Linked DNA regions of Ovis aries. The protein of the gene in region 3 interacts with the protein of the main gene of each other region in a pairwise test. Links are inferred from orthologs where the notes say so. Each region holds a gene or a part of one and is shown on either strand. Other genes may lie near its edges. The genes, in order: TRIM38, RBFOX2, ATXN1, DNAJA3, PSMC3, FDPS and PEPD.

Region 1 (4,142 bases), about 9.1 Mb from region 3:
TCTTGCCTGGAGAATTCCATGGACAGAGGAGCCTGATGGGCTACAGTCCACAGGTTCTCAAAGAGTAGGACACGACTGACGACTGAACGACTAACACGTCACACTTATGCAAACAGTAAGCATAAAAAGAATGGAGTGTCTATATTAATAAAAAATAGAGTTTAAGACAGAGAGCATTTCCAGAGATAAAGAGTACCGTTCTGTACTGATAAAAGGGTCCGTTTTTTCATCAAGAAAACGTAATCATAAATGTGTATGAGCTTAATGACAAGCCTTCAAAATACATGATGCAAAAATGGAAAGAATTAAAGGGAAAAATAAGCAATTCTATAATCCTAGTTGGAGATTTTAATACCTTTCTTTCAGTAGTGATATAATAACTAGATAAAACATCTAAAAAGTCACATAAGACTGAAAAACCCTATCTATCACCTTGAACAAATTGGTATTTAAAGAACATTATACTGAATTATACTGAATATCTGCATCCACATTCTTTTCAAGTACATATGGTTATAGTCATAATGATAGACATGTTCTAGGCCACTGTACAAGTCAATAAAGTTAGAGGAATTTAAATCAGATAGCATATGTTGTCTTGGGAATTCCCTGGCAGTCCAGCAGTTAGGATTCCAGTGCTTTCACTGCCAGGGCCTGGGTTCCAACCCTGGTCAGGGAACTAAGATCACATAAGCCCCCAATTTGTGGAAATTAAGCAACATGCTTCTAAATTAATCTACCATGTAAAAATCATAATAAAAATTATAATATATTTGAACTATAGAATAAGGCATATATAACTTTGTGAGAGGCAACTAAACAGTGCCTACAGGGAAATGTATAGCTTAAACTGTTTACATTAGAAAATAAAGATAGTCTAAAATCAAAGCCCAGATCCTGCAAAGGTGATATGTCTAAAAGAAGACACCTCCACTACCACCAATAAAACTGAGATCCCAAAGGGTGATAAAGGTGAACTAGAAGTAAACCCATTTCACCTCCTGGAAACTGAAAGAGCTCTGAGAACTCTGGTGCTGAGGAGGGTGCAAAGAAAAGAAAAAGAAAGAGAGTAATAGACCCTGGTAAGTTGTAACAAGAGGCCAATTTTTATACATATTCGGGATGAAATTTCATATCACTTGGGTTATCAAAACAAAATTATTAGTTTGTTCCTTCTTTTTATTGCTGTAAAAGAAAAATATTTTTCCTACCATCTTCCCTCCCTTTCAGTACAAGCTGAGTGCAAAAGATACGGGCCATTTCACCAGTTTCCTCCCCGGATCTTATAGGGCCCCGCCTTCTGAAGTAGTTTCACTTTTGTTTGTAGTTAACTTCCTCACCCAGACCTCAGGAACCAGCAGCTACGGAGCGAACTAGCGCGAGTATGTGACTGTCTGCTGTGTGGAGAAGGGAGTGGAAAAGGTCAGACCCATGTTTTCTCATGTTTTCTCCACGGAGGGATAGGAGATGTGTGTTGGAGGAGGGGATGGGGTAGCCGGGTCTTTGTTTCATGGCTCTCACACAGGGTCTGCTTTCTTTTTCGCCAGACTCCATGTTAAATCTCTGAAGTACAGAAGGTGAGGTGAGTGAAGGTCCAGGACAGGCGCCCTGGGGGCTCAGAGGAGGGGAGGTCCTCCTTCCCTAGGAGCACAGCACCAGTGGCAGAGAGGAGCCTAGTGTATCGCTTGGGGGAGATAACCTGCCAAAGAACAGAAATCTCCAGAAGAAATTCTCTTTGGATCCAAGAGACTGGTCCTGGTTATTAGAGGGACATAGCCTATCCAGTAACTTTAGTTGAATCCTTGCTTTTGATTCTGGCCCTGTCAGTTCAAAGGAAAGGCCACTCTCAACTTCCTTCATCCTCTGCTGCCCTCCCCGACAAACTCCCAGGAATGAGGAAGCAGGGAACTGAGCCAGGTTCCCAAAGCAGTCTAAGCTGTGGGTGAGAGGGTCGACTCCTTTGTCTATTGGTTGTCAGGTCCCTAGGGGTTAAGCCCTCAGGGTTGAGAGGCCCTGCTTTCCCATCTGCTTCTCACCTTCCCCTATCCTGGATTCTGCAAACTCCCTGTGTTCCAGTCACTCTGAACTTCTCCTGAGACACAGGTCCTGCTTGGAGAAGAGAGTCACCTCCCTAGCTGTCAAGGAGTTCTGCTCCCCTTCTCTTCCCAGCTCTTTTTTCCTCAGGTCAGGGAGCGGGGAAAAGAACTTGATTTCTTTACTTGTTCTTCTGGTTGTCTTTTTTGCTTTCATTATCATCCAGTTAGGTTTCCACTAGGGACTTTATTATGGTGTCTTTTGTTCTTTGTGGGGCAGGAGTGAGGGTTTAATTAGAGTCAAATTTGATTGTCTCAATCAAATCCTTAATAGACCACCCCTTTACCTAAGTGTTACTACCACTTACAAAGAAACAATTCTGGTACTAATTATTCTTGATGTTCATTAGAGGGAGAAAAACTTTAACAGTCCCTCACTGAGTTCTCTCTCTTGCTGCAGCTTTGGTTGAGGAAGTCAGCTTGGTTTCTCTCCCTCTCTCAGTGAAAACTTACAATGATGGAATGTTCTCCATCGGGGCTTTCATATAGCTACCAATCACCTGGAGCTATTAAGCAATTTAAATATGGCTAAGAGGTGCGAGAAATAGAATTTTAAATTCTATTTAATTGTAATTAAAGTGGCCACATGTAATAGTCATGACCATATTCCACAACACAGCTACATTCAATGCATCGTCTAAATTCCAACCTATTTCTTCTCTCTCTAGAGCAGACTCCATGACCTGTTGAAACCAGTGGCAACCAGTGCATTGCACAGAGACTCAGGAGAGGTAAAGTTCCATCACTGTGGGAAAATTCTGATTACTTCATCTCTGTGTCTAGATTCAATATTGGAGCTTTACAGGAGAAACCATGGCCTCAAAGAAGATGAGGGAGGAAGCCACCTGCTCCATCTGCCTGCACCTGATGACTAACGCAGTGAGCATCAGCTGTGGACACAGCTACTGCCACGCGTGCATAGTGAGCTTCTTTGAGAACCTCTACCAGATGCAACCATGGCTGAAGACATTCTCCTGTCCCCAGTGTCGAGCACCATTTAACATGGAGAGCCTCCGGCCCAACAAGCAGCTGGGAAATCTCATCGAAGTCATCAAGGAGATGGACCAGGAAATGTCATGTGAGGAACATGGAGAGAAGCTCCACCTGTTCTGTGAAGACGAGGGCCAGCTTATCTGCTGGCTCTGTGATCGTGGAGCCCAGCACAAAGGGCATGCCACAGCTCTGGTGGAAGAAGCATGCCAAGGCTACAGGGTGAGTGGTGGCCCACAGGGCTTCGGCAAGTACTTGGCCTCATATTGCCCCCTGAGACCTGAGATTCTTTGGCCTGAAACCCAAGATTAGGATCCTGAAATCCTATATCCTGTCATTCATCTGAAAAGTAGAATGATGGGTCCTCACTAAATCAAGTCCCAAAGGTTACTTTTGTCCCTATCCTTTCTGGCTCTGATGAACTCCTCCCTGCTTTAGAATGCCATGTGCACACCTGCATGTTTTATTGCTTCATACCATGTGTGTAATTTGAGAAACAACAATATGCAAGACCATGGGAAAGAGTCTGAAAACACAGGGGTCAAAGACACACCACCTTAGATGTCTTACAGTCTAATAGGAAAGACAAATCCGCAAACAGGCTGCCTGGAGTCCCCTGATTTGGATGGTGGAGCAGAGCCCTAAGGGGTGTGGAGTAGTAACTAAGGAATCTTCCCAAGAATGACTCTTGAAGAATACATAAAAATTAACCAAATATATTAATAGAAGTATGGAGAAGGGAGAGGACATTCCAGACAGAGGGGACCACATGTGCAAAAGCACAGCCATGGGAGCATACCTGACTTGCTATGACTAGGCCGGGGGGTATGCAGGGGAGGCAGGTGATGTTACGGGAATGAAAATCAGGTCTGCATCCTAGCCCAGAGTAGTCCTGGCCATGGGGGGATTTTCATTTGCAGAGTGAAAGATCGGGCTAACAATGAAAAGAACATTCTGGTACTGATACAATGAAAGGAATACTAAGTAGTAAAATTCAGATTATTCCTGTGAGAAGTGGAAAGAGATCAGTTCTAAGCCAGATTCAGGAAAGAGTGTGAG
Region 2 (3,500 bases), on a different chromosome or scaffold from region 3:
ACTAACTTATAAAAGTCCACTTTTTATATAAAAATATACATTGTAGGCTGACCTTGAGAAACAACGGAAATCAAAATCTGCCATCTTCACTCCTTCTCCCCCATTCAGTAACAAAGGATTTATTTGTTGCTATGGAATCATTCCACTGCATGAGACACCCTCCATACAAAAATCAAAAGGTGAAGGATGCTCAGCTCCATTAGTTGTTTTACCATCATTCAGAAGCCAACTGTAGTTTAATTCTTCCTACTTCTCCCTTTCTCCCTTGATTCAATTGGACTTGGCTCATCTTTGAATTAACCTCTTTTAATCCGTCTCCTACAAAGAAAGCAAATCCATTGTGGGTAACTAGCTCTGCTGCTCACCACCCAGGCAGTGAAACCACAAGGGAGGGCACATGTGAGAGCCTCAGCCCCAGCAACGGTGGTGGTGAGGGGTGAGCCCAGCAGATGCAGTCTTGCACTACAATCTTCAGCTCCTAGTTTGGTTCTCTGCAGGAGTGTTAATCCAAATTCGTGCGATGCTGAGTGAACTCCATGCCAACACACTGCTAGTGAACACAAGACAGTTCTGGCTACTGTCTTAAGCCACTACTGTGAGGGCTTAAGGTGGCCAAGATGAAGATTTATATAATGCATTGATATTCTGTTACATTCTGACAATGGTATGGTTCTTGCCATCTAATCTGTTAATTTGCAAATATTCAAAGAGTCTCTACTATGCGGCAGGGCAACAACCCAGAAGTTATAAGAGGGCCATGGTATTCTGGTTTTATCCAGTTGCTTATTTGGGAATCTACTGCTTACCCTGGATAGGCGGGAATGGCTGCTGGAGGTACCGCTCGGACTGCGCCATATACCGTCCGCCCTCTGCCCCTCAGGTGGGCTCCTCTGAAAGCGGCCGCCGTGGTGGCTGCAGTTGGGTAAGGGAAGCCAGGAACTAAAGGGAGACCCAAAATATGACAGAAATGTCAACTTGCATTCAGCAGCACGTGTAACATCACAACCTGCTTTACAACAATTACAGGAGAGATGAAAAGGTACCTCCACATCACAACTTTTCTCAAAAAGAAATGGAAATATGCGATATGCCATAACTCATTGACACCATGCCTCACTTATCACAAATCATGAGTTTTCTTTATTCCTTCCCAATTTTGGCCTTGCAATGCAAGCTGATGAGAAACAGGTCAAGAAACTTGAGAACTGCTGCCATAATGGAGACGAGACTTTTCATTTCTACAGCCAGTTTAAGTTTGATATAAACTCTTTCACTGACTGATTATTAATCTTATTTCCAGATGTTATTACATCAATTTAAATAATTATTTTTCATAAGCATATCCTTTTGTGCTTTGACATGCCACCACATTCCAAGGCACACTAAATAGTCTTCAGACACGTCATGAGTCCACCTTACTCTTTATCTAACATGTTTCAATCCAGAAATGAGAGGTGAGAAGGAAACTGCCTCTCCTCTGCAGCCCTGTGTCCTGTAAAGAGGCAGACATTCTCTAAGGACCTGTTTTAAGTGTGCTATCCTCTGCAAAGCATGCAGGGACATTGATTCCGTATCCACTGAACTCTGTTTAATTATATCTCTTGCTGGAGCTAAATAGCTCAGGTCAAAATGACTTTAGAGGTACCAACAGAGCTGAGAATAATCAATAAAACTGGAGCAGTGTTTGAGTGGTATTCTACTCAAGGGCCCAGAGCTGACTTGCAGATAGCATGTACATGTTCTACCAATAGTCCCTTCTTTGTTTGCTTCATTACCAAAGTGCAAAACTAAAATTTTCTTTACATGCCCTCATTCTCTTCTACCTTTTCCGACTATTTGTGCTTTATGGCCATCTTAACATTTGATCAAAAAGATTCTAGCACAGGACAGGGCATTAATGACAGTATTTAACTCTCTCGTGAATGCCTCCTTTTCAGTTACGTGTATTTGGGGGTACAAAAAGACCAATACCTCGCTGTTTACTCACAACAGTCAAACTCTCAAACTCCAAGCCAGGTCAACATAGGCTACTTACTGATTAAAGGAATGTAAGTGTTGATGCCCCCTCTTCCTGACAGGGGCACGGCTGCGTCGTTGCCTAGAGACACATCTGCTTGGAAGCTGGATGCTAAGTGTATTTAGGAAATGAAAAGGTGCAAAAAGATTACCAAGGAGTAGGAAAGTGAAAAATAATAGATTCATATATACATATAAATAAATATATATGTAAATAGCACAAATGGAAAAATTAACTTAAATACTACCTGCATACAACTCAGGGCCATATACAGCTCCAACTACTGGGCTTAATTTCCAACCTGAAATGGAAGAGAGGACAGTGAGCAAATGTTTAAGACTACATGAGGAACAGAAGGTAAAGGAGGGCTTCAGATGCTCTGGATTCGTTTTTGCCTGGTACCATCTTCTTTTTAGGATGCCGGTGGGTGTTTACATGAGAGGGTGATGATATTTTTGGACCTGACCCTCTTTAAGCAGGACTAGCACAGTGAAGGGATAATGAAGATTTGGCAGAGGGAGAGGTAGCAGGGGAAAGAGGAGGTGAGAAAAAAATTGGGAGGGAGGAAGGAAGGAAGATGGAGAGGGAATGAGAGAAGGAAAAAGAAATACAAATAAATCCGGGGGGTTTTGTACACTGTCTCTCACAGAACGGCTAAATGACCTAGTCCTTGTTTAGAAGAAGGGAGAAAGGCACAATATATGTAATTTGGTATCACACTGTGATGCGCTGTCTTCTATATCATCTTGACATTGTTTATTACTCTAGCTGTTTTATTATAAAACAGTATCCTTTGACTGAATTAAAATCTGACCTGGACCTCTGAACTCCAGGTTCATTTATAGCATGCTAATGGTATTCTGGGTAAATGGAAATCTTTCATTGCGATTTCCCATTGAGATTTCACTGGAATTTATTTAACCAAGTCACCAAGGAGAGATATGCAATGATAAAATTCAAGGTATGTTCCTAACTTTGGTGCATGTCTTCTGAAATTTTAATTTTATAAGAAGCATATTTACATTAATCAGACTTTTAAGCTAAAGAATACAAGACCACTACAGAACATTAGTGTAAACATTTTAAGTATTTCTAAACAACATTATGTTTGATGTCACTTTAATTTCTACATTTCCTTTTTTATATTTATAGGAATATGGTAAGTGGTTAAAAAAAAAGAGAGAGAAATGTTCTATTGCCCACTGACAGAGTAGCATTCTACATGAAAAATCTTAATGAATATTTCTTGAATTTTATCACTTTATAAAATTTTTATAAATAAATAAAGCCATTTTACTTTTCTGAAAAATTGGCCCTTTGGTTTAATTCTTTTATAACATTGTAACATTGTGTCACTGCTAAGCTGCTTCAGTCGTGTCCGACTCTGTGCGACCCCATAGACGGCAGCCCACCAGGCACCCCAGTCCCTGGAATTCTCCAGGTAAGAACACTGGAGTGGGTTGCCATTTCCTTCTCCAACGCA
Region 3 (3,500 bases):
AAAAAAAAAATTTACTTTTTCTTCTTGTTTATTTCCCAGGCTTCACTTGGGGTCTGTTAAAAGACAACTTTGCTAGTAAGTCAGCTCATTCTTTTGTCAATGAGGATCCATCCACTCCTAATCCACGTAGGACGCGGAGAGGGAACAGAAACTTAGATGTGGGCAGGGAGTTCTACATAATGATGCCCTTTTCCAAATATCCTGATTTTTGTTTTGTTTTTGTTTTCTTGCATCAGAACCCTGAGAAATTTTTCTTGGGCCTCACCAAAGTTTACAGCGACATCTCACCATTAAAAAGAAAAGTCTTCGGGGCTAAAAGCTCCTGGCAACGCAGGCCCTCTGATATTGCGCAAGATCCCACATCCGGACATTCACAAGAAGTCCTGGAAGACGCTTTGGAAAATCAGACTCCCCCACCTCACTTGATCTTTTAAAAAATATTCTAAGAACAATTCAAACCATTAACTAGTTTGTTTATCTTTGACTGTCCCAAATACCAGCTACGCCATGACCATTTTTCAACTCATTTCAAACTGAAGAAGGTGCTATCATATGCCATTCCCAGAGGCACTGAGGCTCTATAGCCTGGGAAGTTCCCTGCCTTGGGGCCAAACCTAACTTCAAGCAAGCTGGGCAGTGAAACTACTGTTTCCATAACACATGGGTGGAATCAAGGCATTCAAGTGATTTAAGAAGCTGGAAAAGAGTGGACTGAAGGAACTCATGGAAATTAAGAGCTGATCCCGGTTCTAGTTTTAACATGACTCAGCTTGGCTGCATCTGGCCCTTGGGGGTTCCTATTTATCAGAAGTCCAGGAGATCACATGGGACAGCCTTGACCTTCCAGATTATATGACCCATGCCTTTTATTCTCTGTATCTGATGCTCTGACATCTTGGGGTCTTGCTGACACTGGAGGGACCGTCCCTCCCTGTGTTAGCTAATTCCTAGACATAGCCAACAGCTCCCCTGCTGGGGATACTGTTCTTCACGTGTAAAGCAAACACCCACACCTCAGCTTCCTCCTCAGTGAATGGGACTTTCACTCTCTGGGCCACTATCAGACACCTAGGGACAGCTCCTGTACCCAGAGCCTGCTGAAATGATTCCAACTAGCCTACCTACGCTTGCTACCTTGCCTCACGCACTCCTTCCCACTGAAATGATAGCAAAGGCTCTTGTTCATGTATTCTCCTGGCTCCCAGTGCCTTGTAGCAGCCCCTGGCCTTCTTCCGCATGGCAGCCCACGTGGCCGGGCATATCCCCTCTCCTTGGGATCTGAGTATAACCAGATGTATTCTCCTCTGTTGGCCTCACCATACCTAAATGATAACAAAACCTACATGTTAAAACATGGATGTTGGGACTTCCCTGGTGGTCCAGCGCCTAAGACTCCAAGCTCCTGATACAGGCGGCCTGAGTTCGACCCCCTGGTCAGGGAGCTAGATCCCACACACTGCAACTAAGAGTTCACATGCCACGACTAAAGATCAGATTGAGTGCTGCAACTAAGACCCAGCACAGCCAAAATAAATAAATAAAAACAGTAACAAAACACTGATGTTGTAATGGGATATGGCAACTCTGGGCAACTAACATTCTCCCCTGAAGCAGCACTGTCTTTTCCTGGGGTGGGGGTGGAAAATGGCTTTTCTTAATCAGGGTTACTCATGCGAACCACAGGACAACATCAGCAAAACAACCCGAGTGGTGATTTTCTTAACTGTCCCAAGCATGGTACCTGACCAGCCCCCACTGGAGAAGCAGAGAAATTAATTCATTACAAACAGAGGATGCTTCCAGGTGCATTAGGGCTTAATTCTCTTAGAGAATGGTGGTTGGAGGAACGTGAGAAGCCTAACCTTTACGTACAAAGTGAAAGTGAAAGAAAGCCCTCAATCACTCCCACAGCCGCAGACAGGTCACGGTGCCAGGAGGTAAGGGCGGCGGCACGGCGCGGTGTCCCCCTACCCCCGTGATGCGGCCACAATGTTACCTGCGCTCGGTGATCCCCAACGGCAAACTGGATCACGGCGACGCCGGGGCTGTGGCTGTCCGCGATCCTCTCCACCGTGCTGGAGTCGATCTTCAGGTCGGTGCTGATCTCCGCGCTCTGGATGAAGTCCTCTGTCTTCAGGTCCTCCACTTTCTTCAGCTCCCCGTTGGCCAACTGGATGATGGAGCCTTTCATGAAGTAGGGCGGCAGCGTGGGGGGCGCGGCGGCGGCGGGGGAGGCCACGGACTGCGCCACGGGCAAGTGGATCTGGGCCTGCACCATGGCCGGGTAGGCGGCCTGGCTGACCAGGGCTTCAGGGCCGAAGTTCTCGCTCTTGGCCAGGGCGGTGGTGACGAACGTGTGAGGCACTGCAGCAAACTGGGGCGACGACGTGACGATGGCCGAGGCGGCGCCCGACCCCTCCAGGTCGGCGCTGCCCACGGGGATGAGCAGGGGCTGGGTGCCCGGGATGACCAGGTGCGGGGGCAGGCCGCCGGCGTAGGTGATCGCTTGCTGCTGGCCGCTCAGGTAGCCGATGACCGGCGGCTGCGTGCCCGCGTAGAAGGCCGTGGCCGGCAGCCCGACCGGGAGGGCCTCCGAGGCGCTATGTGTGGTCTGGATGACCGTATGCGGGGACAGCGTGGCGACGGCCTTCACGCCTTCGGGGCCCAGCGCCTGCTGCGGGGACAGTGCGTAGGAGCGGTGCCCGGGCTTCCCCAAGTGCAGGCCGCTCTTGTCGTTGAGGGCGGACGGTGAGTTCTCCCGGTGGGTGACCTGCTGCCCCTCGAGGTCGGCGGCGGGGGTGCTGCTGTTGGGCAGGACCATCACGGAGGCCCGCACCCCCGACGCGTCGCGGACACTGTAGTCGGCGGGGCCGGGGTGGACCACCACGTGCCTGGACTCGTAGGGGTGGGGCACCGCCTTGCCGGCCGCCTTCACCAGGCCCAGGTCGGCCGCAGGGGGCGCCCCGTACCGGCGGCCCTTCTCCACCTCCCCGTTCAGCATCTCCTTGGCTTGTATGGCCTGCTGCAGCCGGCTGCTCTCGGCCTTCTTGGTGGCCTCGCGGGTGACAAAGTGGCTGCCGGAGTCGGTGTACTGCACGACCACCTGCGGGGAGGGCCCCAGGGTGAGTGTGTGTGGGATCATGGTCGGGTGCGTGTGCAGGTGGACGGGGAGGGTCGGCGGCGAGGCCGGGCGTGCGGCGTTCTGTGGCGAGCTGGAGATGCGCACGTACTGGCTCTGCTGGGGGGGCGGTGGGGACCCCGGGGGGAGGAGCCCCGCAGTCCGGCCTAGGTGCTGCGGCGGTGGCGGCGGTGGCGGTGGCTCAGCCTTGTGTCCGGAGGCTCGGCTCAGCCCGCCCATGTCGGCCAGCAGGCTGCTATAGGCCTCCAGCTGGGAGCGCTGGGCAGGCGTGGCAGCGCCCACCGCCGAGGCCACCGCGCTGGTGACCGGGCTGGCCGTGGGCGAGATCAGCTGGGAAGGGATGAAGCCGGTGTAGGGCCCG
Region 4 (3,500 bases), on a different chromosome or scaffold from region 3:
AGAATTGTTTGGACATTAAGTTTCTTGATTTTGAGAACATACTGTAGTTACATAAAAGACCGTTCTTGCTCTTAGAAAATATACACTATAAATGACAAACCAAATGGGATAAAATGTTAACAACTGTTGAGGCTTGGTAAAAGGAATAAGGGAGTGGTTATTTATACTAGTCTTACAAGTTTCAATTATATCTAAAACTTACCAAAAAGAAAAAGAAAAAAAGATTATACTTCAAGCAAAATTTAAGTTCCCCTCCCCCAATTTTAAATTACCAACATACTCCAAAACGTATTTTCAGAGGAGACAGCAGAATTTCCTTGCTCCTTCTGTACAGAGCACTCCTGGGACAATGTGGAAGGTTCTAGATCACAGAGTCCCACCTATTAAAGAGCTCTCAAAGCCCTAGGTACACTGGCACACAGAGAAGAGGAATGGTGGGGAAGCACAGGGAGGCGGCAGAGACAGGAGCCCCAGGGGGAGGCGGGCCCACCAGGCTCACCATGCCGGAGCCACCGCAGTAGTGGCAGTGCTGAACTTTGGTGCCTGGCTCGTTCCCTTTGCCATCACACCGCTCACAGGTGTCAGTGATGTTCACGGTGAACTCCTTGTTGACGCCCTTGGCAGCTTGATTGAACGTCAACTCCATGATGTACTAGAGAAATCAAGGGACCACTGTTATTGCTCTGAAAGTAAGGGAGAGCGCTGGCTGAGAGTTTACAGTTTCTGTTTCTTTTAAAGACTCTATTTTTTAAAGCAGTTTTAAGTTTAAAAAACTGAGAGGGAGGTAGAGATTTCTCTTATACCTTTGCCCCCACACGTGCACAGCCTGCCTACCATGTAATCAACATCACTCACCAGAATGATACATTTTTTTTTAATCAAGGATGAACCTACATTGACACAGCATGACCAGAGCCCACAGTTTACATTAGGGTTCACTCCTGGTACTGGCTATTCTATGGGTCTGAACAAGTGTATAATACACACACAGCTTCCTCATAGAATCATGCAAAGTATTTTCACTGTCCTAAAAATCTTATTCATGGCTCCACCAATTCATCTGTTCCCCTAGCCACTTTTTACTTTATAACTTGTACTCTGTCAAGTCAAGAACAGATGGGACTCAACTGATTCTGCTCTACTCCTCACGATTTTCAACAGATACCTGTTGTGTGAAGGAAAATGGGCTTTTCAACAAGCTGAAAATGTTCACAAATAATATTAGCACGTGGTCCTAACAGTTCAAATGATCCACAATCATAACTTACATTGTAAAACGCTTCCCCCCACCCTTGGGTTCTCTTCTGATAATGCCTGAAACAAGACATAAACATGGAAGAAGCAGGACTGGCAGTGCCTCCCTATGGACCGAGTCTCCTAGAATAATGAGACGGGCTCTACATAAACTAACTACTCTAACTATGGACTCTCAGAGCCACGGGGCTGCCCTGATTAAGCAACTGTAAGAATACAGGAGAACTGAATGTACACATTATTAATGGTTTTTCAAATACTGGAACTACCTGCTACAAAGATGGCTGCCTCCCAATCACCCCATTTAAGCTACTTTATCTTTTTTCTTTGAGAAAGAGAAACTGGTAAAAAATCTGTTTGTGTCACACTTAGCCGCTGAAATTTGAACAATTCTTCAAAATGAGGGGCTTACCTCCTGAGGCTGATTGAACACACTCTGGAAATCACCAAAAGAGGAGGATGAGAACTCCCCAAAGATCTTCCTGAAGAGCTCCTCTGGGTCAACTGTGGGACCTCCTTTCCAGTAGCTCTGCCCAGAGCTGCCGGCCCCGGGGTCGAAGCCAGCGGAGCCGTAGGTGTCGTACTGCTTCCTCTTCACTTCATCGCTCAGGACCTGCCGAGAAAAGCCCAGCAGTTAGTGCCCCCGAGGCTCCTGGGGCCCAGGGCACGGACACCAAGTACAGACAGTGGTGGCGGCCTATCGACATTAAACGTCTTGATCCTGTCAACTGTACCGCGGCTATGTGAACAGCCTGCCCTTAGAGAACACACACAGAAGCACTTAGGAAGAGACAGAACACATCTGTGACTTACCCTCAAACGGTCAGGGGCAGGGCGGGGGATGCACACACATGTGCATGGACACACACACACAGCAGATATACGACACCCTACACACCCCCAACCCCTTCAGCACGGCTGAGTCTGAGAAGGAGGTCCACACTCATGTAACTCTGCCCTTATTCAGCTGCTGTTTCACACCCTCTGCTCTCAGATGACATTCGACACTCCTCCAGGGCAGTGGTGGTTTCTGCTTTTACAACATCCACCATCCCACCAGCCCTCCGAGGGGGAGGTCACCAAACAGGCAAGGAACTGGTTAATCTGACAAGAAGGTCCCAGACCCAGCTAAAGTCCCAGTGACTGGGACTGGGAATACAGATTACTGGGTTCTGTTCTTTGTTGAGATCCCTAGTGAGATCTCATGTGAGCATTTTGGACCTACAAATTTTTTTTTTTCCCTCTTCAACAAGGTGGTCTGGAGGGGGACACGGCCTTCCCACTGAACCTTCTCATGCATCAGGCTTCCAGTGCAGCACGCTCTGACCCACGCACACAGCCGAATGACAGGGACTGCACACACTGGGGGGCCGCGTTACCTCATAGGCCTCTGCCAGCTGGGAGAACTTCTCCTTGGCTTTGGGATCATCCTTATTCGTGTCTGGGTGATATTTCTTGGCAAGCTAAGGGAGGAAATGGTCAATTAGTATGGACACAAGATGATCACTAAAACTGAACCCCAGACACCAGTCACAGCTCACCTCCTTTGCAGCAGTTGTCAGACTTCACAACTGACAGCAATTCTTAAAACAAGATTTAAGACTAAATCATCTCTAACTAGACTTATGATGACGATCATTTCATAGTGTATACAAATGCTGAATCATTATATTGTACACCTGATACTAATGTCAACTACACCTCAATAAACACAACCTAAAAGCAAAACACACACAGCCAGAATTAAGAACATACACTCCATGAACTGTGTTCAGTTTTCAATTCTGATCAAAAGTTTATTACAAAACAGCAAAGTGAGTTTTGGGAAAGGGAAAGAAAGAAAACTATCTCTTCAACTCTGAGATGTGTATATGTTTTTCAACTGCAACAAATCTCTCAACAGAAATAACAATTCTTAAGAACTTGGGGTCCTTTGTGAGAGATGCCAAAGAGTAAATCTGATTAGACTACCATCTGTGTAAAAAGAGGGAAATGACTGGATAGATAAGTAGATATATCTGCTGTATAAATTAGTTTTGGAAGAGCAGACACTAAGCTGGAAATGCTGATTGCTACAGCGGGGAGGGGATGGATGGGTAAGAGAGGTCTTCTCACTGCACACTCCTCTGTACTTTCTGAATTCAGAACAACAGATTAAAATATTAAAAATCCAAACACAAACCTAACTTGGCTGTCCTGGGTACACTGGAGAGCTGAGCAGCTCTAACACAAAGGTTTCCTCCTGG
Region 5 (4,069 bases), on a different chromosome or scaffold from region 3:
GGTTGGCGGTGGACTCCCAGAACAGCAGGACGGGGCAGAAGGACGGTCTAAGAACCGGAGCCTGAGCTCCGGTCCTGGCTCTGGCCCTAACCGTCTGAGATCCTGAGCAAGTTGTTCAAACCCTCCAGAGCTCAGTCTTCCAAACTGTTGCATGGCCACTTCCCTGCCTCCCTAGAGGCTACGAGGGTAAGAGGCACGGGAGGAGCAGCGCTGGGCCACCGAGGCGCCGGGACTCCCTCACCTCCTGGATCTGCTTATCCAGGCCCCCGATGTCACTGTACTGCTCCGTGGGTCTCTCGTCCACCTCCATGGCCTTCACCCGCGAGTCGTACTCGGTGGGCAGGGTCTCCAGGATCAGATAGGAGTCTTTGTTCACACCCTGGGGACACAGCATGAAAGCCTCAGCTCTGTCCCAGCGCAAGGCCTACCTAAGTGACTGGGGGACAGGTGTCCAGAGTGAAAGGAGAGCCACAGGACTGGGCAACACAAGAGTCAAAGGGCAGGCAGCTCTGCAAACGTTCAGGACCCACAGTGACCTAAGCCGGGGCCAGGGGCTCGGCTCAGCAGTGGGAGAAACCTGGCTGGAAAAGGCCCGCCTGGGCTCAGGGACACCACTCACCACCAAGTCTCCCGGCTTCAGCTTTTCGGCATCCACCAAGCCAATCACAGGCAGGAAATAGGTCTGCAGAAGGATTCCAGGTGCAGCCTCAGTCGCTGCCCTCAGGCAGGTCCCCGAGTCCTGTCCCACCCCCCAAGCCTCGGCACTCCCCTCTTGAGCCAGCCCCACCTGCCGTGTGGAGGTTTTGATGACCGCACACTTGCCCTTCCTCTGGGAGTCTAGATCGATGTTTGCACCATCTTCCTCTTGGTCGTTGGGATCAACATCTAGGAGCTGGGAGAGGAAGACGCTCAGATCGAGAGGCCTTGCTCAGCCCCCCTGTACTCTGCAGAGCCCAGCACTTCTGGGGCCTAGACAACCTCAACACTCCCAGGGCTCACCATCCCTACCTCACTCCTCAGCCTAGCCCTGAGCCCAGCCCCCCCTGTACTCTGCAGAGCCCAGCACTTCTGGGGCCTAGACAACCTCAACACTCCCAGGGCTCACCATCCCTACCTCACTCCTCAGCCTAGCCCCGAGCCCAGCAAAGGTACGGTTAATAAATCGGAAGATTAGTGTGATCTCTGCTCAGGTGCTGCTTCCCTGCACAGAGCTCATCTATCCCCCGAGGAAAAATACCCAGTAGAAAAAGAAACACAAAGCTTCCAATGCCTTTTCAGGCCTGTATATTCCCCTGAAAACTTACAGTGGGGAGGAGAACCTAAGAGGTTTAGATCCTACATGCAATTTAGGCCTCAAGAGGCCCACCCACCCTTTCCCCAATGGCAGGCTGCCTCCAAGCCCCACTGACCCCTCTTCCCCTCCACATACACACACACCTCGATGACGTTGGAGACCAGGTACGGCAGGGTCTTGTTCACTTTGATCTTCTCGCTGTTCTCTTTGATCTTGTCCTTCATGGCCTGGAGTTCGTGGGTGACTCGCAACACTTCACTCTTCATGATCTGGGATGAGGGTGAATGGAAGGAAATATTCAGCCTTACCTCAGCTTATCTGAGGGCCACTTAATTGGAGCACCTTATCCAGGCGGCCAGAGGAACCCTCCTGCACCCCTTCACTCAGCTCAAAGGCTCTCTGAATGCTCAGCCTGACTGTCCACAACCAGCAAAGGTCGAAACAGGAGGCCCGTCGGGAAACCTCCAGGGTAAGCAGTTGTACTAAAGGGAAAAAGCCAGACTTTGAGTTGAGCACACACGGGCTTCAGGTTCTGCCTTTCATTACAGGCTCCATATCTCACCACAGTAAAACACAAAACAACAACAACAAAAACACCTCTTTTAGCCTCAGTTTGCTCATCTGTAAAGTGGGGGTTTCTTAAAAGACAGACTCTCAAGAGGAATACTGGAAAGACCAAGCTGGGAACAGCAGTCAGCCAATTCCTTCTCTCAGGCCTGCTCTCCCACCCCGGCCCTCTCCCCCTCCCTTTTAAAACTTAGTTTTCTCTTTTTCTGGTCTGAGGAGGAAACCGCGGTCCCCACACTCTCGGAGGGAGGCTGGGGACGACGTGAGAGCACCAGGGCCTGCCGTGTGCGGGGGGACGCGGGCAGGGAGAGGGGCTTCACTGCCCACCTTGATTTCACTGTCCAGCAGCCGTGTGCGCTGGATGATCTCTTCTGTGGACATCTTGAGAACTTCCTCCCCGATTCCATCTTGCTGTGAAAAAAATAAAATTTTTTTTCTTAAATTCAAGGCAGTTAACTCAGCACTGTGAGTTAGCCAACTCTTTGCCTCAATTAACCCACTATCCGCAAAAAAAAAAAAACCAGAACGGAGTCGCGACTGCATACCAAGCGGCCCCAATCCCGGGACCGGGCTCGACCTTGACCCCCGCAGCCACCGCCTCCCCTCCCGCCAGCGGGGTCTCCCCGTGGCCCGGGCTCCAGAACCGCCAGCTTCCCCAGCGCGCACCTCAGCCTCGTCCCACACGGTCGCCATCTTCTCCTGCCGAGTCACCGGCCTCTCGAGTTTCGGCAGCAGATTCACCATCTGCGAGAGCAGCCTGAAGACTGCACCGCGCGGCAGCCGCGGGGAGAGATTAATATGACAATATTGCCTCTCTTTACGTCTGCTCTTGACTAGTGAGACTCCGTCAACGAGTCCTGACTCGTGAAAAAAGTTAGCTTGGGCCGCGTTGCGGCGGCGAATCTGCTGCCCGGATTCAAAAGATGAAGCGCAGGCCACAGGGCCCGCCCCCGCGGCTGCTGAAACGTTCCCGCCCTCGTCCTGTTAGTGCCGCCCCGAGAGGAGGATGCGCCATTGGCTGGCACGCCCAGAGGGGCGGGACCTGGCGGGGAGAAGAAACAGAAAGGGGAGGGAGACACGACCCGGTGTCCCCGGGGCCCTTGGGAAATGTAGTCCTAATCAGGCGGGTCATAGGGCGCTTTTGAAGGAGGCGGGGTGGAGGGGGTAGGTCTTTCAACTGCAGAATTGGCCTAGTTAGGAATTAGGGGATTCCCCAAAATAAGTGGGCCTCATCCAATCAGTTCAAGGCCTGAATAGGTCCAAAAGGCTGAATACCCTCAGAGATAGAGGGAACTCCTTCTTCCTGACTGTCTTGAGCTGGGTTTCTTCCAGGCTTGGGTGCTGTGCTTAGTCGCTCAATCATGTCCGACTCTTTATGACACCGTGCACTGCAGCCCGCCAGGCTCCTCCGTCCATGGGGATTCTCCAGGCAAGAATACTGGAGTGAGTTGCCATTTCCTCCTCCAGGGGATCTTCCCAACCCAGGGATCAAGCCCAGGTCTACCCACCCAGCAGGCGGATTCTTTACTGACAGAGCCACAAGGGAAACCCAAGAATAGGGATCCAGGCTTGGGACTTACACTGCAATATCAGTTCTTAACCTTGCTCCTTAGAAGAAAAGTTATGACCAACCTCAGTTCAGTTGCTCAGTCGTGTCTGACCCTTTGCAACCCCATGAATCATCACAGCACGTCAGGCCTCCCTGTCCATCACCAACTCCCAGAGTTCACCCAAACTCATGTGCATCGAGTTGGTGATGCCATCCAGCCATCTCATCCTCTGTTGTCCCCTTCTCCTACCCCTAATCCCTCCCAGCATCAGGGTCTTTTCCAATGAGTCAACACTTCACATGAGGTGGCCAAAGTATTGGAGTTTCAGCCTCAGCATCAGTCCCTCCAATGAATACCCAGGACTTGTCTCCGTCAGAATGGACTGGTTGGATCTCCTTGCAGTCCAAGGGACTCTCAAGAGTCTTCTCCAACACCACAGTTCAAAAGCATCAATACTTTGGTGCTCAGCTTTCTTCACAGCCCAACTCCCACATCCATACATGACCACTGGAAAAACAATAGCCTTAACTAGACGGACCTTTTTAGGCAAAGTAATGTCTCTGCTTTTTAATATGCTGTCTAGGTTGGTCATAACTTTTCTTCCAAGGAGTAAGTGTCTTTTAATTTCATGGCTGCAGTCACCATCTGCAGTGATTTT
Region 6 (4,194 bases), on a different chromosome or scaffold from region 3:
GAGTACAGGTGAAACACGCACCTTCTGGTACAAGGGCCTCCCCACATCTGTTAACCCCTCGTCACTAAGTCTGGCCACAGCACACTAGATGCACAGAAACACAACCGAGAAGCCGAGTTTCAGGCCCATCCCTTCCCTCCCGTCCCACCCCATCCCACCCAGGGCACCCCCACTCTAGTAAACCTCGTCTTTGCCTGCTGCTCCCCACCCTTCTCACCAGTTCCACACACCAGCCCACAGTCAGGGCCCGCTGGAGACTGTCAGGATCTTGTTTCCCGGGCTCCACAAGCTTCCGGAACGTTACCACCACCGTCAAACCCCGATTGTACTTGCCTCCGATGGCATTGTACTCCAGGACCTGGGGGAATAGCAGAGGGACAAGGAAGGCATCAGGGTCTGCGGAGCAGCTATTCTGAGATTTCTCCTTGTTTTCTCCCACCGGAGACCAGGGAACCTAACTTTATCCTCCTCAATCCCAACCCCTCCTCCAGGCAGCCCCTGAACTACTATGCTCCTGGCTTCTTCCAAGTCGTGGGGCAGAGCAGGAAGTTCCCCAGTCCCCAGGCTCTCTCTGCGTTGTCTTCTTCAGAACACTGAAAGGCTCCATACTGGAGATTAAGATCTGCTCCCAAACCCAGACAGGGCTTGAACCCGGGGAAAACTCTTGTGCATGCCAAGAGAGCGGCTAGCTCAGGTCTCTCCCACCCCCATTCCTCCCTTCTCAGCCACCTCCTCTGCGACCCCCCTCCACGGTTCAGCCTATCTGCAATAAAAAGCCTCTCACTTAACTCAGACAAGCGCCCTCCTCCCCAGGTTAGCCAGAGGACAGCTTGGAGGGGACTCAGGCTGGGGGACCATCCGCTACTCCTTCAGTGGCATTGCCTCCTGCTGGGGCTTCTCATTTTGCCTTCTGCTGCCCTGTTATCAACCAGATGCAATTCACTGGGAAGACTTCCCTTTTTAATCTCCATCCAAGTACAGACTTCCTTTTCCTTAGTTTCCCTCAGACAAATGAGACGGCATTACAAAAAGAATCACTAGATATTCCAAAAGAATCAGGCAACGTAGGTATCTCAACAAATAGTTCCTGCCCTAGAGGAGGGGTTTCTGATGGAACACTACCTTTACTCAGCCCCACTTCAGACTGCTTCCTCCCTTCCTCCCAGGTCCCTGCCAAGATAGCCCCTTATGATTTCTGGACACCTAATTCCCTGTCTTAACAAAATCAAACACTTACCCAGATCAAAGCCTTCACCCCCAGGGCGATCCACCCCTATGCAAAGCAGTATGTCTGGCCTACCAGAACCACAAAGCTGGACTGATTGGACCTGCCCAGGCTCCGACCCCTCCAGAATGAACCCAGAGTCTCTCAGATAAAAGTCTGTTCCCACACCTATCAAAAGTCACCCCAGAGCCATAGAGAGACCCCACGCATGTGCAGAGATTGCAAAGGTTCACCCTCTCGAGTTGTAAATCCCTCACCTCCTTGAGTCGGGTAATGGCATCTCCTGTCTCTGGGTGCCCAATGTCCTCCTCAGTCAGCACCTTGACAATCTGGGAGAAGTGCTGGATGAAATCCTGCCTTTCTTGGGCGAACGCGTCCGATTTCTGGTCTCCATTCATTCTGAGGGAGGAGTAAAATGCTCTGACAAGAGGGAGGACAAGTCAGAAACCTAATCAGCTGCTCCCCTCCCCAAGGCCCCTCACCCCTGCCAGACTCACCGAGGCTCCTCTGTCCACGCTTGCCGCCAGCAGCGGGCACTGTGCCAGGCCCCCAGGACTGGGCACCCGTGCCCCAGGGTGGGTCGCCGTAGGGGACCCAGCAACCTGTCCCGGGGCACCCAGCACGGGGCTGGCAGCAATAAGACCCCCACAGATCTCAGCCAGCGGGACAGGGGCAGCATGGGGGGTGGCACAGAGAGGGGGCATTGAGCACTCCCTGCAGGGGCAAGCACCAGAGGCAGATGCACGCTGTCAGCTCCCCAAGTCACCCTCCAACCTTCCACCTCTGTACCCAGAATGCCCCACTCTCTTCTGGGCTAAGCTGGAGGGCACTTAAAGAAACTCAGGGAACAAAAAGTACGGCTGGGTAACCAAGACTCAGCTGATCATACTTAAAATAAGAAGGCTAGGACTCAAAGCCATGTAACTTTACCCGGCTGAGAAACCGTCAACGCCTCCACAAAGGAGCCTCTGGAATTGCTATACTCTTGCTTGCTTCCTCCAAATTCTGGAGCACAGACTGAAGAATCCAGAGTAAAGGACCTCAGGACCGGGGGCTGGGAGGATCTTTAAATCACCCTCTTTTATAGAGGCCAAACTGAGGCTCTAGGAGGTAGGAGGTACCCGGGGAATGGCAGCGCCAAATCTAGAACCCAAGTCTCCCTTGGTAGGCAGGGAGAGGGGAGCGCAGGCTTTGAGGCGTGAACGCAGAACCCCTGGGTACTATGGACATGTAGTCTGGGGCTCTGGGACTGGACCTCACAGAGCCAGGACTGTGCTGACAGCCTCGGAGCAACACTGGGTGGGTGGGTGAGTAGGGTTCGCAGCGGAAGAGCAAAGCAGGGTGCAGTTATACTGGGATTCCAGGAAAGCACATGGCAGAGTTCGGGAGTTTCTGCACATCCACGGTGTCAGCTAGTCCGTCCCACCAACTCCCAAAACGGGGGAACACCGACGCAACAGACTGGACCTCCTGTGCCTTGAAGTTGCGCTACAGAGTTAAGACCGAGTTTCTAGCCCCTGCCTCCGGTCCCAGCCCTCGACCTCTCTCACCTGTTCCTGGATGCTGGTTGCAGATCCTGATTGTTGGAGGGGTACTCCTAAAAGCTGGACCGCGCGGCGCTCGGGTCGCTGGATCTAGTAGTTCTCGATCTCCTTTCACTGCAGGCAGCAATGCTTCACTGGACTACAATTCCCGAAATGCCACAGGAGGGGCAACGATTACGCGATCTAGCGCGGGCTGGCTGGGCGGGGACGAGCCACATTGATTGGCTACTTCCCCTCGTATGAGCATGAGGCCCTGTAGCCAATAGCCAATGGAAGGGCTGACCCCCGGGACCTGAAGCTAACAGGGCTGGAGTGGGCGGAAGATGGGGTGAAGTTGCAGGGAGTCGAACAGGTTTGGAATTCCTTGAACTCAGGCTCTCAACAGTCGTTGTTTACTACTCAAATTGTCATTATTTTCCTGTGCAGTTGAGTGGCACGTTACTAAAACCCCAGGGGGGCCATCATGGCTACTTAACTGGTTGTCTAACTTGGGCCAGTCGTGTAACTTCTGAGCCTCAGTTGACTTCTTTGAAAGGATAACACCGTGATATAAAGTATATAAAGTGCTTTAAGTGCTCAACAAAGCGAAGACTCAAGGAGAAACCAGAACCGTTATCCCTACACACAGGTACACACACACAGTGTACCCACCCACCGTGGATAACACACACACATACACACTTACAGTTTACCCACCCACCATGAATAACACACACACACACAGTTCACCCACCCACCATGGGTAACACACACACACACACAGTTTACCCACCCACCATGGGTAACACAAACACACACACAGTTTACCCACCCACCATGGGTAACACACACACACAAAGTTTACACACCCACCATGGGTAACACACACACCCCCATATACATACACCCTGTACACACACACTTCTTACACACACGTACCCTTCAGCCACACACACACACACACCTTTTACCAGCAACCATGGGTACCACATACATACAAGTTTACCCACACATCATGGGTAACACACACACACACCCTGTACACACACACCCCTTAAACACACATACACACCTTACACACACACACCCCTTACACACACCGCTTACCCACCCACCATGGGTAACACACACACAGTTCACCCACCATGGGTACACACACACACCCCATATACATACACCCTGTACACACACACTCCTTACACACACATACCCTTCACACACACACACACACAGTTCACCCACCCACCTTGGGTAACACACACATCCCCCATATACATACACCCTGTACACACACATACCCTTCACACACACACACACACACGTTTTACCAGCCACCATAGGTACCACACACATACAAGTTTACCCACATATCATGGGTAACACACACACCCCTTAAACACACATACACACCTTACACACACACACCCCTTACACATACACACCCCC
Region 7 (3,500 bases), on a different chromosome or scaffold from region 3:
ACCCCCACCTCCCCTGCCACATCCCTCAGGTCCCAGACGGGACAGGTTAAGACACGGGTGCCCACGAGCATCACAGATCTGGCAACGCCCTACCCGCATCCCCGTCCCTCCCCACCTCTCTGCCACCCCCACTGCCTGCAGGCAGGCAAGGTGCCACCTTGACTTAAGACGCCCAGGCCAGGCATCTGCTTAGAAGCGGATTCCTCCATTTAAGACTTCTTCCTTCCTTCTCCCACCCCCGGGGCAGCTGATGACTCCAGTGTTTAGCATTAAACACGGAGCTAAAATATCGTTGTAAAGGTATGAAGTGGAGGAGGCGCTCTTCTAAAATTAATCTTGCATAAAACATCAGTAAGGGAGCCAACAGCTGAATTTAGGAGATTGGTTTTTAAACCGCAGACTATGGAAACCTCAGGAAGCATCAGGACGAGGCAGAGAAAACTTATTTAGACCTCCACATCTCCAGCGACCCGGGGACGACAGGAATGAAGAGGCTGAGGGAAGCCCTCCAGTAGGAGACACTTCCCATGGAAGATGCTGTGTGCGCCATAGCTCCCAGCAGTGGATCCAGGCCTGTGCCCCGCAGGGTGGACACTGTCTAGCTGCGGAGGCCACGCCTTGCTGCCCGCTCTCCATGCTCAGCTCCCTTCCCATTCCCCTGCTTGCTCCCTGACCTGGATGCTCGACATGTCCTCTAGGCCTTGCCTGGCGCCAGGGAGTTCCCAGTGCGTCAGACCCCTGCTCTGGGAGACTTGGAGTCAGCAGATGGGTTCTAATTAATCCCAGCTCCCCCTCTGGCATTTCCTTCTGAGTCTGTTTCCTCATCTGTAAAGTTGGGCCAGCCTAGGGCCCCCTGGGTGAGCCTCTGATGACTGTCCTGTTCCTGTCCCCAGGAACTGAGTGATGCCAGAGGCCATCACGTCCAGGCTGGCTTTCTACAGCTTGGCCCCCACAGCCATCCCCCAGGGCTCTAGAACCTTGCGGAGCCCCTGGATCGCTTCCCAGGGGCGGAAACCAAACCCAAGGCATCAGCACTGGCAAAGCTGGGATGAATGCCGGGGCGCTGGACTCCTGCTAAGACCCTGCTCCCACGCCTCCTCCTCCCAGGACCTCTGCAGCGCCAGTCCATTCTTGCTGTGGGAAAATCTGGTAGCAGGAACTCAGCCCTCCCCATCAGCACCTCTCCCGGCCCAGGGAAGGCTGCCCAGCCCCACCTCTGGGGTCCAATCCTGTGGATACCATTCCCCCACCTAGAACACCCAACCCTAGCTCCACCTGTCAGAATGCATGCTGACCTTCAGGATCCACACCCGATACTGCCTCCTCCAGGAAGCCTTGCCTGCTTGTTCCCCAGGAACATCATCCCCCTGTACTCTGATCTGAAAGAGCTGAGGCTGACTGGTGACAGCTCTGCCCTCTCGAGTGGGGGCCCCCTTGGGGACCTCAGCCTTGGCCTGCCTTCAGAGAATCACCTCCGAGTCCCTCAGGAGGGCAGAGTTGCCCAGACCCACCGGGCCTGATGCTGGAGGAGGACAGAAGGCCCACAGGAGGCCCAGTGCACGCCCAGAGAGGCGGGAAGCTGCCAGCAGGGCTCACCTGACGGAAGAGCACCCCGGTGTCGGTGCAGTAGCGCTGCGTCTCCTCGCCGCCCTGCAGCACCACCACAGAGCCCGCCTGCACCGCTGGGTTCTTCCGCAGCCGCTCACACAAGCGCTGCCTGTTCAGTGCGAAGAGTGCCAGCGGCACCTTCAGAGTTTCGTTCCCCAGCCAAAATGAGGGTCTGCAAAGACATGAGCAGGCTTCTGTTGGCACCACCAGGCACGTGCCCTATGCACAGTCCGGGGCGGCTGCAGGGCCCAGCCTGGCACCGGACCCCCATTAGTACGCAGCAGGCTGATCCAAGCTCAACCTGCGTGTGACCCGGAAACAGCTCCTGGCCAGGCTGCTGGTGGACCACAGGCGCTGTCAACCACACCCTCCCCTCCTGGCCCTGAGCGCCAGACAAGCGGGATGAGGGGCAGCTGGGTCTGTTTAACCAGTAGACAGATGAGCCCACAGAGGGCAATGCTATAACGGTGCCCAGACACATCCCCTACCCTCCAGTTCCTGCCCTCAAGGAGCTTCCCATCCATGTGAGATTTGGCCCAGACGACACTAGAGCCCTGCCCACGTGTCTGCAGGCTGCATCTTCTCTGTAGGTCACAGACCCGGCAGCCCGGGCTGTTTCTCACCTGAGCTGGGACACTCTCCTGTCCTCAACACAAACACACACACACACACACGTGCTGCACTCAGCACCAGGCACTGAGCCGAACCAGGCCTGTATGTGCCAAATGACTGAGGGAGAACCATGACCAGGTGGACCTGGAAGTTGCGGCCTTTGGGCTGAGGTGTCCCCTCCACCTGGGCGTAACCTGCGCTACCCCTCATGTTTCTCCCCACCCTCCCAATCCCCTGAATTGCTCCAGCATCAATTTTCCCCTCTGGGGACCATTCTCAGCATTCAGATGCACAGGAACCTCACCCATCTTTAAAATAGGTAAAAACACGCCCCTTGACCCCCACACCCACCAGCATCTACTTCTCTCTCTGTCCAACAAAATCCTCTGGAGAGTCGTTCCCCATGTCTGGCCACCCCAGTGCAGACTTCCAGCCACAAGGTGCTGAGGTGGGCCACACAGGCATCATACTCTTCCCTAAACCCCAAGAACCCTCCCACCTGGGACCTCTGTTCCCCGTAAGGAACACCCTCTCCCAGTGCTGACCAGGTTCATGCTCTCACTTCATCCAGGCCTCTGCAGAAATACCCCCTCTTCCCCGAAGCTTTTCCAACAACCCCACCCAAACCTATCCACTGCTCTCTTCCCACCTCTCCAGAGCACGCATCACTGTCTAACAGTATATGTTTACTTGCTGGTTGTCTCCCCGGGTAAGATGTAAGCTCCATGAGGGTGGGGACCGCCTCCTTCCAGGCCCCTAAAACAGTGCTGCATGCGTGCTGAGTCACCTCAGTCGTGTCCGACTCTTTGCGACCCCGTGGACTGTAGCCCACCGGGCTCCTCTGTCCATGGGATTCTCCAAGCAAGAATACTGGAGAAGGGTTGCCATGCCCTCCTCCAGGGGATCTTCCACACCCAGGGATCGAGCCCAGGTCTGTTACATCTCCTGCATTGGCAGGTGGGTTTTTTTTTTTTATCACTGGCGTCACCTGGGAAGCCCAAAACAGCGCTGTGTGAATGACTAAATGGAGGAAGGGCAGTCCCAGCGAGTGGGCTGGCGGCCAGCAAGGTCGGGGCCAGGGGGCAGGAGTTAGGCAGGGACATGTGACCTGTGTGGAGGGAGGCCCTGCAGGCTCTCTGGCCAGCGGAGGTCCAGGAGGGCAGGGACAGCCCAGAGAGAGGGGGCACTGCCTGGGGCTGCAGTGAGAGACGGTGCTCACAGGCAAAGTCCACCTCCGTCTCCTAGAACGGAAACCCCACAAGCCCAGAGAGCTGGGTCTG

What was found.
Region 1: the proteins of ATXN1 (region 3) and TRIM38 interact in binary tests that used the Homo sapiens proteins (3 or more experiments, as listed by UniProt). The link is inferred for Ovis aries from reciprocal best matches to the Homo sapiens genes ATXN1 and TRIM38.
Region 2: the proteins of ATXN1 (region 3) and RBFOX2 interact in binary tests that used the Homo sapiens proteins (3 or more experiments, as listed by UniProt). The link is inferred for Ovis aries from reciprocal best matches to the Homo sapiens genes ATXN1 and RBFOX2.
Region 4: the proteins of ATXN1 (region 3) and DNAJA3 interact in binary tests that used the Homo sapiens proteins (3 or more experiments, as listed by UniProt). The link is inferred for Ovis aries from reciprocal best matches to the Homo sapiens genes ATXN1 and DNAJA3.
Region 5: the proteins of ATXN1 (region 3) and PSMC3 interact in binary tests that used the Homo sapiens proteins (3 or more experiments, as listed by UniProt). The link is inferred for Ovis aries from reciprocal best matches to the Homo sapiens genes ATXN1 and PSMC3.
Region 6: the proteins of ATXN1 (region 3) and FDPS interact in binary tests that used the Homo sapiens proteins (3 or more experiments, as listed by UniProt). The link is inferred for Ovis aries from reciprocal best matches to the Homo sapiens genes ATXN1 and FDPS.
Region 7: the proteins of ATXN1 (region 3) and PEPD interact in binary tests that used the Homo sapiens proteins (3 or more experiments, as listed by UniProt). The link is inferred for Ovis aries from reciprocal best matches to the Homo sapiens genes ATXN1 and PEPD.

What each region holds. Positions count from the first base shown.
Region 1 is NC_056073.1:30,926,785-30,930,926, reverse strand, and holds the start of TRIM38 (E3 ubiquitin-protein ligase TRIM38), read left to right. Parts: upstream 1-1,342; 5' UTR 1,343-1,422; intron 1,423-1,547; 5' UTR 1,548-1,577; exon of another isoform or gene 1,578-1,582; intron 1,583-2,761; 5' UTR 2,762-2,906; coding exon 2,907-3,305; intron 3,306-4,142. UniProt on the Homo sapiens protein: E3 ubiquitin-protein and E3 SUMO-protein ligase that acts as a regulator of innate immunity. Acts as a negative regulator of type I interferon IFN-beta production by catalyzing 'Lys-48'-linked polyubiquitination of AZI2/NAP1, leading to its degradation.
Region 2 is NC_056056.1:179,532,036-179,535,535, forward strand, and holds part of RBFOX2 (RNA binding protein fox-1 homolog 2), read right to left. Parts: intron 2,319-3,500; coding exon 2,265-2,318; intron 2,129-2,264; coding exon 2,034-2,128; intron 950-2,033; coding exon 807-949; intron 319-806; exon of another isoform or gene 213-318; intron 1-212. UniProt on the Homo sapiens protein: RNA-binding protein that regulates alternative splicing events by binding to 5'-UGCAUGU-3' elements. Prevents binding of U2AF2 to the 3'-splice site.
Region 3 is NC_056073.1:40,000,263-40,003,762, reverse strand, and holds part of ATXN1 (ataxin-1), read right to left. Parts: coding exon 1,997-3,500; intron 1-1,996. UniProt on the Homo sapiens protein: Chromatin-binding factor that repress Notch signaling in the absence of Notch intracellular domain by acting as a CBF1 corepressor. Binds to the HEY promoter and might assist, along with NCOR2, RBPJ-mediated repression. Binds RNA in vitro.
Region 4 is NC_056077.1:4,155,522-4,159,021, reverse strand, and holds part of DNAJA3 (dnaJ homolog subfamily A member 3, mitochondrial), read right to left. Parts: intron 3,351-3,500; coding exon of another isoform or gene 3,343-3,350; intron 2,718-3,342; coding exon 2,634-2,717; intron 1,868-2,633; coding exon 1,667-1,867; intron 653-1,666; coding exon 500-652; intron 1-499. Other genes in the region: small ribosomal subunit protein uS10-like, read left to right, coding at 3,343-3,350. UniProt on the Homo sapiens protein: Modulates apoptotic signal transduction or effector structures within the mitochondrial matrix. Affect cytochrome C release from the mitochondria and caspase 3 activation, but not caspase 8 activation.
Region 5 is NC_056068.1:76,180,656-76,184,724, forward strand, and holds the start of PSMC3 (26S proteasome regulatory subunit 6A), read right to left. Parts: upstream 2,801-4,069; 5' UTR 2,606-2,800; coding exon 2,528-2,605; intron 2,273-2,527; coding exon 2,189-2,272; intron 1,564-2,188; coding exon 1,438-1,563; intron 893-1,437; coding exon 788-892; intron 683-787; coding exon 620-682; intron 380-619; coding exon 242-379; intron 1-241.
Region 6 is NC_056054.1:105,483,580-105,487,773, reverse strand, and holds the start of FDPS (farnesyl pyrophosphate synthase), read right to left. Parts: upstream 2,801-4,194; 5' UTR 1,905-2,800; coding exon 1,723-1,904; intron 1,646-1,722; coding exon 1,483-1,645; intron 359-1,482; coding exon 218-358; intron 1-217. UniProt on the Homo sapiens protein: Key enzyme in isoprenoid biosynthesis which catalyzes the formation of farnesyl diphosphate (FPP), a precursor for several classes of essential metabolites including sterols, dolichols, carotenoids, and ubiquinones.
Region 7 is NC_056067.1:43,416,383-43,419,882, forward strand, and holds part of PEPD (xaa-Pro dipeptidase), read right to left. Parts: intron 1,781-3,500; coding exon 1,597-1,780; intron 1-1,596. UniProt on the Homo sapiens protein: Dipeptidase that catalyzes the hydrolysis of dipeptides with a prolyl (Xaa-Pro) or hydroxyprolyl residue in the C-terminal position.